Linked DNA regions of Macaca fascicularis. The protein of the gene in region 3 interacts with the protein of the main gene of each other region in a biochemical or structural test. Links are inferred from orthologs where the notes say so. Each region holds a gene or a part of one and is shown on either strand. Other genes may lie near its edges.

Evidence for each region.
Region 1: the proteins of KPNA1 (region 3) and NOSIP form a complex in vitro, tested with the Homo sapiens proteins (2 studies listed by BioGRID). The link is inferred for Macaca fascicularis from reciprocal best matches to the Homo sapiens genes KPNA1 and NOSIP.
Region 2: the proteins of KPNA1 (region 3) and PKM form a complex in vitro, tested with the Homo sapiens proteins (2 studies listed by BioGRID). The link is inferred for Macaca fascicularis from reciprocal best matches to the Homo sapiens genes KPNA1 and PKM.

The regions. Positions count from the first base shown.
Region 1 is NC_088393.1:57,524,133-57,530,362, reverse strand, and holds part of NOSIP (nitric oxide synthase-interacting protein), read left to right. Parts: intron 1-2,047; 5' UTR 2,048-2,048; coding exon 2,049-2,118; intron 2,119-2,678; coding exon 2,679-2,784; intron 2,785-3,746; coding exon 3,747-3,828; intron 3,829-5,492; coding exon 5,493-5,652; intron 5,653-5,748; coding exon 5,749-5,867; intron 5,868-5,998; coding exon 5,999-6,186; intron 6,187-6,230. UniProt on the Homo sapiens protein: E3 ubiquitin-protein ligase that is essential for proper development of the forebrain, the eye, and the face. Catalyzes monoubiquitination of serine/threonine-protein phosphatase 2A (PP2A) catalytic subunit PPP2CA/PPP2CB.
Region 2 is NC_088381.1:49,042,010-49,048,239, reverse strand, and holds part of PKM (pyruvate kinase PKM), read left to right. Parts: intron 1-4,287; coding exon 4,288-4,419; intron 4,420-4,914; coding exon 4,915-5,101; intron 5,102-5,825; coding exon 5,826-6,096; intron 6,097-6,230. UniProt on the Homo sapiens protein: Catalyzes the final rate-limiting step of glycolysis by mediating the transfer of a phosphoryl group from phosphoenolpyruvate (PEP) to ADP, generating ATP.
Region 3 is NC_088376.1:160,730,958-160,737,287, forward strand, and holds the start of KPNA1 (importin subunit alpha-5), read left to right. Parts: upstream 1-1,852; 5' UTR 1,853-2,018; intron 2,019-6,330. UniProt on the Homo sapiens protein: Functions in nuclear protein import as an adapter protein for nuclear receptor KPNB1. Binds specifically and directly to substrates containing either a simple or bipartite NLS motif.

The DNA.
Region 1 (6,230 bases), on a different chromosome or scaffold from region 3:
CCCTGTCTCAAAAAAAAAAAAAAAAAAAAAAAAAAAAAAAAAAAAAAAGATGCTAGATTAAAAATGGGTGGCAGAGAGGGAAGTGGAACAGAAATACAAGTTCAAAGAGAAAAACAGGACATGTACAATTTTCTGCTGTTAAAGCAGAGCTTTTTCTTGCATTTTTCAAATGGTCTCAAATCATTACAGTATTTAGATTCCATTAGCTACACATTTACGTTGCTGGAAATTGTATCCTTTGCAACTGTTTAAGCTTGGGAGAATTTTTAGGTGGCAACTTAGAGATGAGTGAGACTAGTATATAATGTTACTAGATTCTTTCTTTGTTTCCTTCCTTCCTTCCTTCTTTCTTTCCTTTCTTTTTTTTTTTTTCTTTTCTTTTCTTCTTTCTTTGTCTCACTGTGTCACCAGGCTGGAGTCCAGTGGTGCAATCTCAGCTCGCTGCAACCTGCACCTCCTGGGTTCAAGCGATTCTTCTGCCTCAGCCTCCCGAATAGCTGGGATTGCAGGCCTGCACCACGCCCAGCTAATTTTTGTATTTTTAGTAGAGATGGGGTTTCACCATGTTGGCCAGAATGATCTTGATCTCTTGGCCTCATGATCTGCCCCCACCTCGGCTTCCCAAAGTGTTGGGATTACAGGTGTCAGCCACTGCACCTGGCCATCAACTTATTTCTTTTTAAATTTAATAGAGATGGATCTTGCTGTGTTGCCTAGGCTCATCTCTATCTTGTGGACTCAAGCAGTCCTCTTGCTTCGGCCTCCCAAAGTTTTGGGATTACAGGCGTGAGCCCTGAGCCTGGCTCTGAATCCTTTTAAGGGATAAAAAAGCATGCAGGGGCAGGCGCGGTGGCTCACGCCTGTAATCCCAGCACTTTGGGAGACTGAGGTGGGTGGATCATCTGAGGTCAGGAGTTCAAGACCAGCCTGGCCAACAGGGTGAAACCCCATCTCTACTAAAAATACAAAAAAATTAGCCAGGTGTGGTGGCAGGCACCTGTAATCCCTGCTATTTGGGAGGCTGAGGCAGGAGAATCGCTTGAACTTGGGAGGCGGAGGTTTCAGTGAGCCAAGATCATGCCATTGCACTCCAGTCTGGGCAACATGAGCGAAACTCCATCTCAAAAAAAAAAAAAAAAAAAAAAAAGTCAATTTTATGGTATGTGAATTAAGTCTCAATAAAGTCTTTTAAAAGGGTGGGGCTTGCACTCAAGTATGGGGAATGATCAAAGGTATCAAAGTAGGGTGGCAAGATGTTGACAGGTGCTGGACCTCAGGACATGGGTACATGGGGTTCCTTACGCTATTCTGGTTTTGTATGTGTTTGAAAACTTACAGAATAAAGTTTTGCTTTTTGAATTGAGCTCCAGGATTCTGGGGTCTTCTCTTCCTCCTTTACCCGCAGTGGGAGTGGAGGTAGCTCTTCCCCTAGCCACAGAGCCCTACTCTGACCTGCCCTCTGATTGGTCGATCTGAGATATAATCACAGACGCTAGATCCAATCGCTAGTGGACTGGTACGCAGCGATTGGGTCAAGCCTTGGCTAAGTGCCAAGCCTTGAGCCAATCACGGGGCTGGTCCACGCCTTGGCCTCAGTCAGAGCCTACAGATAGGAGAAGGGAAGGGAAGGTGGAGTGGATTCATCAACAGTAGTGGCCCCCTTAGTGTCTTTTTTTTTCTGCCTCCATTAAATGGCACAGCCACCACCCCAGCTAATCTGAAGTAGTGGGTAGAATTTGAACCCTGGATCCCCACCCTCTTCCCTCCAAACAAAGAATTCTGTTGGTAAAGGTGCTATTTTCATATATAAATGAGTCTAGGTGAGTCTGGAAGGGGGACTTCCAGGAGGAGGCCTGGTGACCACATGCCCTCCCTCTCCTCCACCTCACCCCGCTTCTCCACCTCCGCTTTCCCATCGAGGGGGCAGATCAGCTCTGAGGGCTGTAGAGTCATCGAGGGGGCAGATCAGCTCTGAGGGCTGTAGAGGTCTTCCCTGTGCTGCCTGCCTCCGGTCACCACAGCCCTGCCACTGTCCCTTCCTCCCCAGGATGACACGGCACGGCAAGAACTGCACCGCGGGGGCCGTCTACACCTACCACGAGAAGAAGAAGGACACAGGTGCAGGGCTAGGGCAGGGCGGGGCATGGATGTGTCTTGGAGTCACCATCTCCCCTCGTGCCGGATGTCTGTCTCCCGCCCCCGACACACACTGATGGCCATGACCATGTAAACAACAGCCGGGTGATCCCACGCCCCCATGTGGCCTGGCACTGTGTTCCCTGCCTTCTGCGCATGAACTCACTCCTCCCAACAAGAGTGTCAGGGATGGCGCTGTTGTTACCCCATGCTCCAGAAGAAGAAACTGAGGCCCAAAGAGGGACAGGCACTAGAGCTTGGTCACAGCCAGAAGGGTGGAGGGGAGTCAGCCGTCAGCCCCTCCACTGAGCTGCCACTCAGTGACCAGGCCTGTTTGCCTCTCACCCTCCAGGGTTGACACCTCCCTGTGGGTTCAGCCCATGGCCCCAGCACACAGACAGCGGCTCCCAACTGCCTGTTTCTCTCTGAGTCCCCCACCCCCACCACCCCGTTGTCTCTCTGCCTCTCTCTCTGGGGCTTTGGAGACGGGCATGTCTCCTGTCGCTCTGCCCCTCCATCACTCTGCCCCTCTCTGTCCCCAGCGGCCTCAGGCTATGGGACCCAGAACATTCGACTGAGCCGGGATGCCGTGAAGGACTTCGACTGCTGTTGTCTGTCCCTGCAGCCTTGCCACGATCCTGTTGTCACGTGAGCTGGGAACAGGGATGGGTAGGTCTGGGTGGGGAGGGCAAGGGAACCACCAGGAGGAGGCTGTGTGTGTGGGCCTGGCCACCTGCACAGCCAGGGAACCCTGGACGAGCAGTTTATCCTCAGAGCCTCTGTTTTCTGACCTGGGACATGGGCATGATCCTAGTGTCTGTTTCATAGTGTGGAACAGATGGAAAGGAACATATTCCTAATGGGGTGTAGGGCTCTTGGAGCACTGCCGAGGCCATCACAGCAGCTCACCTTCGGACACTTCCCATGACCTGCCTGTGATGGTAGGACAAAGGCTTAACGGGTGCTGAGTCCAGGCACTAAATACGTGCTCAATTAGTGGTATATTTTGTAGAAGACAGTAATGATCAGGGCCCCCAAGGCCACCTTCAGTTTCTTTTTTTCTTTTTCTTTTTTTTTTTGAGACAGAGTCTTCACTTTGTTGTCCAGGCTGGAGTGCAATGAGGAGATCTTGGCTCACTGATCTCCCAGGCTCAGATGATCCTCCTGCCTCAGCCCCCTGAGTAGCTGGAACCACGGGGGTGCACTACCACACCTGGCTTTTTTGTTTGTTTTTTGTAGACAGGGGATCTCACTTTGTTGCCCAGGCTGGTCTCGAACTCCTGGCTGCAACAACATGTGGCACACATTGTTGCTGCGAGAATGAAGCACTTTCCCTGCAACTCTATTGGGAGAGGACAGCTGCAAGCTGAAATCTGGTCTCTATTAGATTCTGCCCCACGTGCCTTTTTCCTTTGCTGATTTTAGTCTGCATCCTTTCACTGCAGTGAACTATCACCATGAGTGTAACAGCTTTGCTGAGTTCTGTGAATTCTAGCGAATAATTGAACTTGGGGCTGATCATGATGGCTCCTGCCTGTAATCCCAGCACTTCAGGAGGCCGAGGCGGGAGGATCACTTTCTTTCTTCCTCATTGCACCCTGTCTTTGCAGCCCAGATGGCTACCTGTATGAGCGTGAGGCCATCCTGGAGTACATTCTGCACCAGAAGAAGGAGATCGCCCGGCAGATGAAGGTGATGGGGATGGGGAGAAGGAGGCACAGGCAGGCAGGAGCTTTTGAGTCTGAGCTCACAGGCAGAGCCACTTGGAGCCCTCCAGTCTCAGTTCCCTCTGCCTGGTACACCATTCCCCTCCTGCTTCCGGCCAAATCCTCCTCACCGATTTCAGCCCAGGTGCTGCCTCCTCTGAGCTCCTGCCAGTCCCCTGGATCTGCCCCAGTCACCTCTTCTGTTAGCACTTGGCATAGTTGTAACTCTACCTGTGGCTGTCTGACACACGCCCACTTTCCCTTCTGGACTTCGAGTTTTCCCCCCTGTGGCTTAGGTCCTTAGTAAAGATGTGCTAAATGGGCCGGCAGTGGTGGCTCACACCTGTAATCCCAGCACTTTGGGAGGCCGAGGCAGGCGGATCACTTGAGGTCAGGAGTTAGAGGTCAGCCTGGCCAACATGGTGAAACCCTGTCTCTACTAAAAATACAAAAAAAAAAAAAAAATTAGCTGGGCATAGCAGGTGCCTGTAATCCCAGCTATTCAGGAAGCTGAGGCAGGAGAATCGCTTGAACCCGTGAGGTAGAGGTTGCAATGAGCTGAGATGGCATCACTGCACTTCAGCCTGGGTGACAAAGCGAGATTCTGTTTAAAAAAAAAAAGAAAAAAAAAAAAAAAGATGTGCTAAATGAATCGACATCACTTCATTTTTCTGGGCTTCAGTTTCATCATCTGTAAAATGGGCTGACAGGGCCAAATCAGAGGACACAGCAGGGAACCTGGGAGGTGCAGGCAGATGAGCATTCTCAAGGCGTTTTACTGGGAACCTGGCCTGGCCTTCCATGGACAAAGCCATTTGATGGGTAGGAGGGGCCCTGTTTATCCCCATTTGAGGCACAGTGGGTCTGTCCCCCTCTTCCCCTGCCTGTTTGTTGGCACTGAGGAAACACTACAGGTCATGTGCTTATTGGGCTTTTTGTCCTGAGCAAGTGGCTCCCCCGTGCCCATGTCCTCCACACAGCCTGGTTGTCATGTCGGAGGCCCTCCTGAGCATCCATCACTGTCACTGTTACCTCCTCACTCAGCTGGGTGGCCCAGGGTGGTCTCGAACTGCAGCACTGCCTAGGCACCTGCTGTGCGCCAGGCGGGCCTGAGCTCAGGATGTGGCTTCACTCCTCCCGTCCTCACTCCCTGCCCATCTGTAGACTGGGCTCCTCAGCATTCCCTTAGACCTGGAGTCTACATCCCCCGTCCCAAACACGGTCTGGGGCATGCACTGTATAGTAAACCTAATTGGCCAGCAGGTGACATTAATTAAACGCTTAGCTGAGTGCCAGGTGAGGCTCTCCATGCTTTAAACACTCACCTTATGTAACCTTCAGTGAGCCGCCGAGGTGGGTCACCACTGTTAGCCTGTTTTACAGATGAAGAAACTGAGGCCAGGAGCGGTCATAGTGCTCACTCAGGCCACAGAGTGACAGAGATGGGCTTTGAGTCTGGCGCTCTGGCTATACAACGCAGTAAGGTTCACACCCGCCCAGGCAGTTACCACCCTCTGCCAGATACTGCCTCCACTGTGTAGGCCTCAGTTTACCTACCTGTGAAATGAGAGGAAGATACCTCCAAACCCCGAGGGTGGTCCAAACCCACCCTCACGGGCAGATGCTCAGCCTACTTTCCGCCCCGCGCAGGCCTACGAGAAGCAGCGGGGCACCCGGCGGGAGGAGCAGAAGGAGCTTCAGCGGGCGGCCTCGCAGGACCATGTGCGGGGCTTCCTGGAGAAGGAGTCCGCCATCGTAAGCCGGCCTCTCAACCCTTTCACAGCCAAGGCCCTCTCGGGCACCAGCCCAGGTGACTCAGAGTGCGCTTGTGGTGGGTTGGGGGGCGGGGCGCCGCGGGCTGGGCGGGCCCAGGGGGCGGCATCTGAGTCCCTTTCTTCCTCCACAGATAATGCCCAACCTGGGCCCAGTGTGGGTCCTCCAAGTAAGGACAAGGACAAAGTGCTGCCCAGCTTCTGGATCCCGTCACTGACGCCCGAAGCCAAGGCCACCAAGCTGGAGAAGCCGGTGAGCCCCCACAGCGCCCCTCGCTGCCAGGGCGCCAGGGTCCCCCAGCGTCCTTCTCACGCACAGGGACCACCCGTTCTCCACCTGCGCCAGCCCTGCCTACTGAGCCTGCCTCTCTCCGCCCCTTGCAGTCCCGCACGGTGACCTGCCCCATGTCGGGGAAGCCCCTGCGCATGTCAGACCTGACGCCCGTGCACTTCACACCACTCGACAGCTCCGTGGACCGCGTGGGGCTCATCACGCGCAGCGAGCGCTACGTGTGCGCCGTGACCCGCGACAGCCTGAGCAACGCCACCCCCTGCGCTGTGCTGCGGCCCTCGTGAGTCACCTAGGAGGGGAGGGAAGGGACCACCTGGGAACCTG
Region 2 (6,230 bases), on a different chromosome or scaffold from region 3:
AACTCTTTACCATGTAACATCCCAACAAAGCCACAGCTATAGTAGAAGACTCAGTACACCTCCCAGAAATGCTCTAAGAGATTATAATATATAACATAGATTTGAATAATACACCTAATAATTGGTATGTTTATAATACATAGTTTTACATCCCCAAGACCAAAAATGCATGTTTGTGTGAAACACTCATGGTTACAAATACATATTAGGCCACCAAAAAAAACCCCAAGTTTCATAAAGTAGAAATTATACAGACACATTCTCTGCTAAACATTTTTTAATGGAAATTAAGAACAAAGTCAAGAAAACTGAAGTGTGCTTACTTTAGAAAGCAAAGATCTCAAGGTAGATGGAATAAATATTTAACTCAGAACACTAGGGGAGGAAAACCCTAAAAAGGGTGAAGAAAAATAATTTTGTAAGATTATAGCTCAATGAAATGAAAATAAATTTGACAAATTAAGCTAAGAGCTGATTATTTGTGGGTAAAAAATAGTAAAATAGAAAGTTCTGGGAAGCCAGGTGAAGAATGCAAGGATGTACAAATAAGAGTATGAATAGAAAAGGGAATATTTCCTACACATTGGAGATTTTAAAAGTCAAGAAAGACTTATAACTTAATTCCTATAGAGAGAGATGACACTGGCTATTTTCCAAGAAAAGATTAAATGCCAAAAAGATAGAAAATATGAATAGACCAGTGGCCATAAGAAGTTGAAAAAGTGGGCTGGGCTCAACCTGCAATCCCAGCACTTTGGGAAGCCAAGGAAGAGGGATCACTTGAGGTCAGGAGTTCGAGACCAGCCTGGCCAACATGGTGAAACCCTGTCTCTACTAAAAATACAAAACTGGCGGGGCATGGTGGCACATGCCTGCAGTCCCAGCTACTCAGGAGCCTGAGGCAGGAGAATTGCTAGAACCTGGGGAGGTGGAGGCTGCAGTGAACTGAGATTGCACCACTGCACTCCAGCCAAAAAGTTGAAAAAGTGGCTAAGATCTGGTTCATCTCAGAACATTTAAGTCCAAACGATTTTAGTGGCTGAATTGTCTCCCCTTCAAAATTCAGTTACATTGTTAAACTGTTCCAGAGCCTAGAGAAATACAGAAATCTTCCCACTGTGTTCTTTGAAACCAACATACTCTGATACTGAGATCAGACAAGGACAGTACCAAAACCAGGCAGGTACTAACAGCGTGCTAGACCAGTCTCACTTAGATGCAGAAAACAAATAAAATTTAATAATCCAAATCCAGTAGTGATTGAAAGGAATGTCTTGATCCATGACCAAGTAGATTTTATTCTAGGAGCACAAAATTCTACATTAAGATTAAGTAGAGTTAAGGTTGACTTTTTTTTTTTTTTTTTTTTTTTGAGACGGAGTCTTACTCTGTCACCCAGGCTGGAGTGCAGTGGCCGGATCTCAGCTCACTGCAAGCTCCGCCTCCCGGGTTTACGCCATTCTCCTGCCTCAGCCTCCCGAGTAGCTGGGACTACAGGCGCCCGCCACCTCGCCCGGCTATTTTTTTTGTATTTTTTAGTAGAGACGGGGTTTCACCGTGTTAGCCGGGATCGTCTCTCAATCTCCTGACCTCGTGATCCGCCCGTCTCGGCCTCCCAAAGTGCTGGGATTACAGGCTTGAGCCACCGCGCCCGGCCGACTTTTTTTTTTTTTTAAGACGGAGTCTCACTCTGTCAACCAGGCTGGAATGCAGTGGCACGATCTCGGCTCACTGCAAGCTGTGCCTCCCGGGTTCACACCATTCTCTGCCTCAGGCTCCCGAGTAGCTGGGACTACAGGCGCCTGCCACCAACGCCTAGCTAATTTTGTTTTTGTATTTTTAGTAGAGATTGGGTTTCACCGTGTTAGCCAGGATGGTCTCGATCTTCTGACCTTGTGATCCCCCCTACCTCGGCCTCCCAAAGTGCTGGGATTACAGGCGTGAGCCACTGCGCCCGGCCTGAGTTAAGGATGACTTTTAAACAACCTAAATGTAGCTAAATATAGAGCCTTCTGCAGGACAGCATTGATGGGTGGAACTCTTTACCACATGATAACATCCCAACAAAGCCACAGTTATGGTGGAACTCAGTCCACCTGAGTCTTACCATTATAAGATGATAATAATAGGTAACATTTGTTAAATAATTACCATGTACTTTGTCCTAATACTTAATGTATTCTTTTACTGCTCACATCAACTCTGAAGGAAAGGTACCACATCCCCTTAAAAGAAAACAACTATTTCTATTCTATTCTTTTATTTTTTTTAGAGACAGAATCTCACTCTGTCGCCCAGGCTGGAGTGCAGTGGCACGATCTCGGCTCACCGCAACTTCTGCCTCCTAGGTTCAAGTGGTTCTCTTGCCTCAGCCTCCCGAGTAGCTGGGTCTACAGGTGCGCGCCACCATTCCCAGCTAATTTTTGTATTTTAAGTCAAGATGGGGTTTCACCATATTGGCCTGGATGGTCTTGATCTCTTGATGTCATGATCCACCCGCCTTGGCCTCCCGAAGTGTTGGGATTACAGGCGTGAGCCACCGCACCCAGCCTCTATTCAATTCTATTTTGTTCTATTTCTATTACAAGCCAGTAAGCAAGAAAATATAATAATTTATAAGGAACCCTATAAAAAACGAACAAGCCAACGGTCCCTCATTAGGGAGTATGCCTGAATAAGAAGCTGAAGATTTTCAGATACAGGCTTCAGGCAACATTGTCTTTAGAGGCTAAGCTCTGGCTCCAGCTCCCTCCAGCATCCTGTGAATAACAGGCAGGCTTACTTGCAGGTGCCGCTTTCCTGGACAGTGGTGGTTAAAGGACAAGGCCCAGAAAGTGCTGAATTAGGTGCCCTTGTTATCAGCAATGTCATATTGATCACGCTGTCTTAGAGCTCTTTCGACATCTTGGCTCTGCAGCTTTTTTTTTTTTTTTTTTTTTTTTAAATCTTTTTTCTTGAGATAGGGTGTTGCTTTGGATAGTAGGGTATCCAGGCCAGAGTGCAGTGGTATGATCATGGCTCACTGTAGCCTTGACCTCCTAGACATAAGTGATCCTCCCACCTCAGCCTCACAAGTAGCTGGGACCCCATGCACCCACCATCATGCACAGTTAATTTTTGTGTTTTTTGTAGAGATGGGGTTTCGCCGTGTTGCCCAGGCTCATCTCAAACTCCTGGGCCCAAGCTGTCCTCCCACCTTAGCCTCCCAAAGTGTTTGGTTTACAGGCATGAGCCACTGTGCTTAGCCTGAGTCCCTCTTTTAAACAAACAAAATGGTAAATGGAAAGGAGGAAAGGCTTAAGAAAAAAGATTGAAGCACAGATTTGTTGCAAGCAAGGAATAATAAAGGGCAGTTCATTTAGAGAAAGGCATATGACCACCTTTCCCCGTCTCCAGTCAGAATCTAGAAAGTGATTGAGGCTGGGCGCAGTGGCTCACCCCTGTAATCCCAGCACTTTTGGGAGGCCAAGGTGGGCGGATCACAAGGTCAGGAGATCGAGACCATCCTGGATAACATGGTGAAACCCAGTCCCTACTAAAAATCCAAAAAATTAGCCAGGCCTGCTGGTGGGCGCCTGCAGTCCCAGACTGAGGCAGGAGAATGGTGTGAACCTGGGAGGCGGAGCTTGCAGTGAGCTGAGATTGTGCCATTGCACTCCAGCCTGGACGGCACAGTGAGACTGTATTCCCCCAAAAAAAAAGTGATTGAGAAAATCAGGTCTGTGTGACCTTAGCAATGAGTTGTTTAGCTTGGGCCACTGTTAGCTTAAGTCAATAACTTCAAGTTTGCGTTGTAGTTGGAATCAATAGAGGAAAAGCTCTCAGCATTACCACATATATCAGAATGTGACATTGATTGCCAGATCAGCCTTATCCAAACACAAGTTCTAGGCTTTTTGCCCTGTTTATCAGCTTTATTTGCTGAGGGTATTTGATGAGTCTTAGGGAAAAAAGAACAGCCCTGGGAACACAGCTGCTTTTATGATGAGACATGTTTGCACCCATACCTTAATGGGTTTTGGTGGCAATATTCTGAAATTTGCCACCAGCGTTTCAAAGATTTGCCCTTAGGGTGAATTACTGCTGTAGTAGAAGTGGGTGGAGGCTGAGGAGATTGGATTAAGCAGGTAGAGGAGTTCTCAGTGCATGGATCGTTCTGAGGATGGAGATAGAGCTCTAAGACATCCACAGGCCTTTCCTGAGTGATCAGCTTTGGCTCCTGGGCAGGGAAATTGAGCTGGATCCTAGTGTGGGAGCACGCTTGTCATCTTCCTTCTTTTTCCCCAGTACCACGCGGAGACCATCAAGAATGTGCGCACAGCCACGGAAAGCTTTGCTTCTGACCCCATCCTCTACCGGCCCGTTGCTGTGGCTCTGGACACTAAAGGACCTGAGATCCGAACTGGGCTCATCAAGGGCGTGAGTATTCTGTGGAGAGCGAGGGAAAGACTCAGTAGGCAATATGCCCCAGAGACATGTCCTCCAAAGCGTTGAGATGCCGTGTTTCATCCCAGCACTATGAAGGACTGTAGAGGAGTTGAGGTCTACAAATGAGGATTTATTCATCACTGTAAACAATGTTGATTTGATTTACTTTGCTAGGAAATGGTACCACAGAGGAACCCTTTTTTTACCCTAAAAACCTAAACTTTAGGCTTTCTAACTTGGGGAACCATCTCTTTGTATCTTTTTCCCCATCATTAAGTAGCATAACTGAAACATTATATTCTATTTTCTTAGATTATTTCTGTGAAGTGTACTGAGTTAGAGAATAAGAGCAAAAAACTGTATTATTTTTAGCGGTGACTTGAGCATTGTTCCCTGGAGGAAAGAGCTTTTCCATTGCTTCTGCGGTGATGCTGCTACTGGTGTCTCCAGTTTGGACTCTGGCTTACTCTCTTGCTTACTCCCTAGAGCGGCACTGCAGAGGTGGAGCTGAAGAAGGGAGCCACTCTCAAAATCACGCTGGATAACGCCTACATGGAAAAGTGTGACGAGAACATCCTATGGCTGGACTACAAGAACATCTGCAAGGTGGTGGAAGTGGGCAGCAAGATCTACGTGGATGATGGGCTTATTTCTCTCCAGGTGAAGCAGAAAGGTACGTATGGGAGCTGGAATCCAATTGTCTAAAACCCATCTTTTGTCTCTAAAGTTCCTTGACACAAGGAAGATGGGAAGGTTGGTTGCCTGGCAGTGACATTGAGTCTGTGTGTTCTCAGGAATCCCTTTTATAACTCATTTATCCTCAAAGACAGGCTTTAATCCAGCATAGTTACATTCTTCTGGTTCCGGAGAACATAGGAACATATATATATACACACATATATTTCTTTTTTGAGACAGAGTCTCGCTCTGTTGCCCAGGCTGGAGTGCAGTGGCACAATCTTGGCTCACTGCAACCTCTGCCCCCAGGGTTCTAGCGATTCTCCTACCTCAGCCTCCCGAGTAGCTGGGTTTACAGGCACCCGCCACCACGCCTGGCTAGTTTTTTTGTATTTTTAGTAGAGACGGGGTTTCACCATGTTGGCCAGGCTGGTCTCAAACTCCTGACCTCAAGTGATCTGCCTGCCTTGGCCTCCCAAAGTCAAAACAATCTTAATTCTCCTTTTTTATGGGTGTGGAAAGTGAGGTACAGAGAGGTTAAATGGCTTGCCTAGGATTACACAGTTAGTTGTAGTAGGGTTTCAACTCTGGTAAAACAGCTCCAGCACCCATAATGCACCACTTCCCAGCTCACTGTGCTTGGGGGAAAGGTGCCTGCTTCCTGTTGAGCTGTGCCCTCGGTACTCTGCCTCCCCTGCTTACCCCTTTTCAAAACACAGGTGCTGACTTCCTGGTGACGGAGGTGGAAAATGGTGGCTCCTTGGGCAGCAAGAAGGGTGTGAACCTTCCTGGGGCTGCTGTGGACTTGCCTGCTGTGTCGGAAAAGGACATCCAGGATCTGAAGTTTGGGGTCGAGCAGGATGTCGATATGGTGTTTGCGTCGTTCATCCGCAAGGCAGCTGATGTCCATGAAGTTAGGAAGGTCCTGGGAGAGAAGGGAAAGAACATCAAGATAATCAGCAAAATCGAGAATCATGAGGGGGTTCGGAGGCAAGTCCCCATTGTCCCTGCTCCAGTCCCAGCGCAGCTCTCTAAAGGGCATGGTGCATCCTGTGAATATCTGATTCCCATCAGAATGTAGACTCCCAAACCTGTTCCAAACCTGCTGAATCACAATATCTTAG
Region 3 (6,330 bases):
TGTTCATAGCAGCATTGTTTGTGATAACAAAAAATACTGTTCTATAATTTCAAATTTCTCAAAATATAAAATGATATTGTCAGAGAGACATTAGCTTATAAAACATCATGTACTGTAAGATAACACTTTTGTAAAAGTAACATACATAGTACTTCAACTTCCAGCAATGGCCTACTGTTGTTTTCAATCAACCTTTCCACTACAGAGAACAACTGGACAAAATATAAAAACGTTAATGTACTGAAGAGCTACCAAGGAAGTGAGAATTTGTGAGTGCAAGATCTGGAAGAAAAAGGAAGCCACCAGAGGTGAGCCTGATATTTGTCATCATTTTTCCAAAGCTAAGGTGATTGCTGACTCTGAAAGCAGTGGCTGAAAAAGTGAGCAGAGCCTATGGTTGTCTCATGGGCCTTAGAAGGCCCATCAAAGAGAAGAGGCCCGAGTAAATAGCCCAGACTTTTGGATGGGACCATCAAGGACTAGCTAGGATTAAGGGTGAACTGGAAATAAATTAGCTTTCCCGAAGACTGAAGACCAGCTCTGAATAATCAATCTTACCTCCTTATTGGAATAAGGTGATCTGTCTTCAGTCTAGCTGGGGTCAGGCAAACTTGCCCTCAAGTCTCTCCTGGTGAACACACCTTCCCTTTCCCCAGCCACATTGCTCAAACTCAACTCTGATCTTAGTAAACACATCGCGGGAGAATGCTGATGCAGCAGAGTGAAGTCCAGGACAAATGAACATTGCATAACCTAGGATTCAGGTAGAGTGGTCCTCTGTCTTCTCCTCTTCCCTGGGACATTTATAAATGTACTAATCTACCTCATCTCTTTTACCTTGCTTCTTGGCATATGTTTTAAATCTATCTACTATTCTGTGACCCCTGCTAGGCTGGCTTCAGTTTTTCTTTTGAAGCCACTACTCCATTTGCTCCCCCAAAGAATTCCATCAAATTTAACATTAACAATCATTTGCTCCAAGTTTTCGTTTGAGAGCACTTGAGAGTAAAACGAGTATTTGTGTTTCATGTAGTTTCTTAATTATTATTATTATTATTATTATTATTGAGGCAGGGTCTCACTCCGGTTGCCCAGGCTGGAGTGTAGTGGTGCGATCTCGGCTCACTGCAGCCTCATCGTCAACTCCGGGCTCAGGTGATTCTCCCACCTCAGCCTCCCCAGTAGCTGGAACTTCAGGCGCCCGTCACCACCCCCGGCTAATTTTTGTATTTTTAGTAGAGACGGGGTTTCGCGATGTTGCCCAGGCTAGTCTCAAACTCCTGGTCTCAAGTATTCCACCGGCCTAGGCCTCCCAAGGTGCTGGGATTACAGGTGTGAGCCACTGCACCCGGCACTTAATTATTTTTGATACTACTCATACATTATCAAGCAAAGGGGATGGGACATAACTAAAAAAGGAATGTCCAGAAGCTTCTTGCATTCATGCTGCACGTGAGCCCTTTAGACACGAGGCGCTGACCTACTAATTTTGTAATACTCCCTCAGTCTTCAATCATTCCATCATTCATTCCATCAACGCGTATTAGTTACCTACTTTGTTAGAAGCTATACAGAGGTGAACATCGATCCGCCCTGGAAGAGCTTAGCAAAGACAGGTTTGCACATATAACTTTCTCCAACCTTTGTTATGGTCTGCAAACCTCCTTCTTAGCGAGACCCTCTCCTCTCCCCGATCCCCGACTCTTCGCAGGCTGGGCGAGAATCGCTAGGAACGTGCGGCGAGAGAGCGTTACAAGACTACGTCTCCCGGCAGCCTCTGCGGCAAGCGCCGGAGGGGCGCGCGTAGGCGCTCGGGCCGGCCCCCGCACGCAGGCGCACTGCGAACGCCGGCAGAGCTGAGTCTTGCTGCTAGGTGCGCGGCGGCGGAGAGCGAGGCCTGCTGAGCACCGCCGAGGCGCGGGCCAGCTCTTCGAGGTTGTGCGCGGGGAGCGGCACGGCGGGCGGGCGAGCGAGGGCTCACTTCAGCGGTGGCACCGGGATCGGTTGCCTTGAGCCTGGTGAGTGCGGGGGCTTTGCGGCCTCGGCCCCTCCCCCTCCCGCCGGCAGATCCGGGCAGTCCGGGAGGGACTCGGGGGAGGCCCTGGGGCGAGGGCGGGCGCCGGCCGGGCCTCGAGCCGCGGTGCCTGGGCCCGGACGCTCGGCCCGCGTCCGTGCGTCACGGGCCCTGCTGTCCTAACGGCCGCGCGGCCGGCGGAGGAGAGGGTGGGGGTGGGGAGCCCTGGTGTGATCGCCATCGGGAACGCCGGTCGAGGCGGGGCGGGGCGGCGTGGCGCGGCGGCAGGGCTGTAAGCGGCGCCGGGGACTGCGGAGTGCCGAGGCAGCGGGCGGAGAGGAGGCGAGCGCGGAGCCTGCGCCGTGGCTGGGCGGCGGGCGGGAGGCGGGGGTGGGCCGTGCAGAGCGCTCTGACAGAGGCAGGAAGGAGCAGGGGTGGCGTGTAAAATTTCTAACCCTGGCAAGAAGGGACCGTCTTGGGAATTCACAAGTTACAGCCCGGGTCGGAGCCGGCGGCCCGGAGGGAGGTAGGGGAAGCGGGGCGGGGGCGCGGGGAGGTGGAGACGACCGGCTGCAGTTTACAGATGTCATAACAACAGGGGCCTGTAGCGGCTGATTGGGGGTGTGGTAATTACAGGAATGACAGAACTTGGTCTGCACACCGCGTGTTAAAGTGGCGATGCGAGGGAAACAGCTAGGTATCAGATTAAGCTCACAACTGGAGGATAAAACTGAAGGATGACTGGAGTCAAGGGAGTCGTCATGAAGTAATGTTTTTGGGATTGGGTCATGTTCCACTTTTAAGTGAAAGCGTTCAAAATATTTCGTTTTTAAGGTTTCAACTCGGAACAAACGATTGCCGAATTTTTGTGTTTTAAAGAGATGGGGTCTCGCTATATTGCCCAGGCTGTACTCCCAACTCCTGAGCTCAAACTGGCCTCCTGCCTTGGCCTCCCAAGTAGCTGGGACTAGTCTCGGGCAACCACACCCAGCAATGCAGAGTATTTTTTTTTTCTGAAACGGGTACTCTCAAGTAATATTAACTTGAATTTCACCGTTTTTTCTTAAATAAACGGTTGCTTAAAAATCTCTATTAGTAGATAAGGTGATTTCCCCCCTCCTGTTTTTTTTTTCTTAAGAGATGGAGTCTAGCTTTGTTTCCCTGGCTGATCTGGAACTCCTGGCCTCAAGGCATCCCCCCCATTACCTGGAACTACAGGCGGGTGCCACCAACAAGGCTCATTCTCGACACTGTTTTTTTCTTAACTAGCTTTTGCATTTGTAATATTTTGAAAGCAGTCCACAAGTTATTTTTCCCTCCTTTTTAAAGATTAAAGAGATGAAAATTTAATTTTTCAAAGGAAAGTAAGAATGATTACTGTTGTATTTTTACTGAAATAATATATTCCTGGAAGGCACTGTTTTATGGATAGATGAGATGTAAGAGAAAGTAAAGGAATTAACATTTATTGAGTTCTTTTTCAGGTATTGTGTTAAATGCTTTATATATATATTAAAAACATTTAAATCTGAAATATCTGTTAATTTTTCTATTTTACAGATGAAAGCATTGACAATCAAATGTTAAGTAACTTACCTGAGGTCTTCTAGCTCTTATTGAGAACAACCTTAGAACCCAAAGTTACTGCCATTTAAATTATTTCTCTCCTTTCATACTTTTTCGTTGTGTTTTCTTTATTTAATCCGTTCAATCAGCGAATACTTATAGAGTGATCTTCTAGATTTGGAGGGATATAGTCGCGATCAAAACTCACTGTCACTGTTCTCATGGAATTTATAGTGTAGCGGGGAAAGCTAATATTACAAATATTGACTGCATAACATTTTATCAGTTATAGTTGAGTAGCAACTGTAAAGCACTCTACTAAATAGTAAAGGCAGTTGAAATGGAAGCAGACAACATAAGCCTTGAGGAATTTACAGTCCTGTAGGGCAACAAAACATACATTTATAAAAACCTAGAATAAACTAAATGGGAAAGGTATCACCTGAAATCACTGTTCTTGCATTATGTTATTTTTTATTTTATTATTTTTTGGGGGGGGGTGTGGAGGACTTGCTCTGTTGCCCAGGCTGGAGTGCAGTGATGAGATCTGGGCTCCCTGCAGGCTCCCTGCAATCTCCGCCTCCTTGGTTCAAGCAGTTCTCCTGCCTGAGACTGCTGGGACTACAGGCGCATACGGCCACACCCGGCTAATTTTTTGTATTTTAGTATAGATGGGGTTTCACCGTCTTGCCCAGGCTGGTCTCGAACGCCTGAGCTCACGCGGTCCGCCCTCCTCGGCCTTCTGAAGTGCTAGGATTACAGGCATGAGCCACTGCGCCCAGCTGCATTATGTTACTTTATAAAGTGGTTCTCATAGAAGTTTCTTCACAGAACTATGATTTAATATACATCTTATCTAGAACTGATACATACCAAAAGGGGCCATGAAAAACATTTTCTTCATTTATATCTAATGAAGAAATTTCTAATTTATTTATTGGTTCCTATAAAATACAGACCTTGGAGACAAATTCTTCCTAAGACCCCAGTATTAAGCTTTTTTTTTTTTAAACAGATGACTGGTTTTATTAGATTGTTTTGTAAGCCATCCTGTTTCTCCATACTTTTGACTGTCAGGAGGCTCAGAGCTGTGTTCAATTTTTATAATTTTCTTTAGTCTCAACTATGTTAAAAATTATTTTATACGTAATCTGGAATTGCTGTCAGTTGTTTCCTGGATTATTTTCTTTATTCTCTGTTGCTCTCGATGGTCCTTTTCCCTTTACATTTGAGAATAGGATTATATCCTATTGTTTTCATCTTCAGTGTTTTAGCAGTGTTTGTTGAATTAATGATAAAATAGAGTTTTAATGATTTATGAAGTCTGTGCTTTTAAGTCTGCCAGATTGTTTTTAGATGTATGAATACTGTGTATAAAATCAATTAAGACCTTTGATTGGTCTTGCAAGTAAAGATGACTGACCTAGTGATAAAAGATAACGCCTTGTTTTGTTTTAAGGTATCTTTGTACTTTGCATGGTGTTATGAATTTAGCCATAATACGGAAGAAAACATTGGAAGTGGTGAATAGTTAATTAGCTGATTTGGGCTGATTTCTCTCTTTTGCTGTGGTAAGCAGGAGATGGCCTCAGGCCAACTGGAGACCAGATAGGGCCAGCATTAGAAAATTTTGGAAATTTTGGAAACATTGGAAGAGTAGGGATGAAGACTATGGGAATGTATGTTTCTTTCTTTTTTTTTAAGATGTTACAAATCTACAAAACAGAACATGAAAAAATGGTTCTGTCCAAGTGCTGTAGACTAATTCGGACAGTTCTTGAAAGCAGGCAGTAATCCAGAATGTGGATAATGGGGATAATCTCCTTCATATAACAACAGTAATGCTGCCCTTCATATACAAAGATAAGTCTGCTTACTCATCATGATTGATTTTCTAGTGTGAGGAGGGATATGTGCTGAGTTGTCCATGAGTCCCTATATAGTCTGTGAGCAGCGAGGCAGCTTGGGGTCAGAATAGGCGTTTGCAGCTGAGGAACAGAAAGACCTGCCGAAAATACTATCTGTTGATGGGTCGGGTTCTGCATCAGTTGCTTTCACTTAATTGTTCTTGCAAAACCATTTTGAGGTGGTGATTACGTGTGCAAGGTGATTGGGTAACTTGCCTTACTTCACAAAGTAGTGAAGTTGGGATTCAAGTAGGGCTGTTTGTACTGTGTTCACATTGATCGTTAAAGATTGGTTTTAGCCGTTCAGTCTCTTTGGCAAAACAAACTAGATGTAGTTTGTTTAACACCATGAAATAATACTGAAAATATAACCATCGTGAGATTGTTCAAGTTCCTTGTTTTGTCAACATTAAAAAAATAAAAATTTAAAATTAGAATACCTGAAAAAGCAGCTGTTCCTTGTCTCAGCCTCTGCACTTGAGAAGCTACCATTTTCTTTCTCCTGTTTCTTATGTTTGCTTTCATATTTACAAATACAGTGACTTGCTTTTACTGCTATTTCATGATACAGCAATTATAGATATTATTGGCTTTCTTCTAAGTAAGATGATCCTTAGTGTTTCACATATATATTCACCTCACCTGTCACATGCACACACTGACTCTGCCATCCTCCAAATATAGTTACAGGTGTTTATTAAACCAATATTTAGTGTTTACAATATTACAACTATATAAATGTTCACAGCTGACCCATGTAGAGTACTATGATATCATTTCTTCTCTTGATAAATTTTTGTTTTTCTAGAAGTTAGTATTTTTTGTTGTTGTTTGCTTCATTTT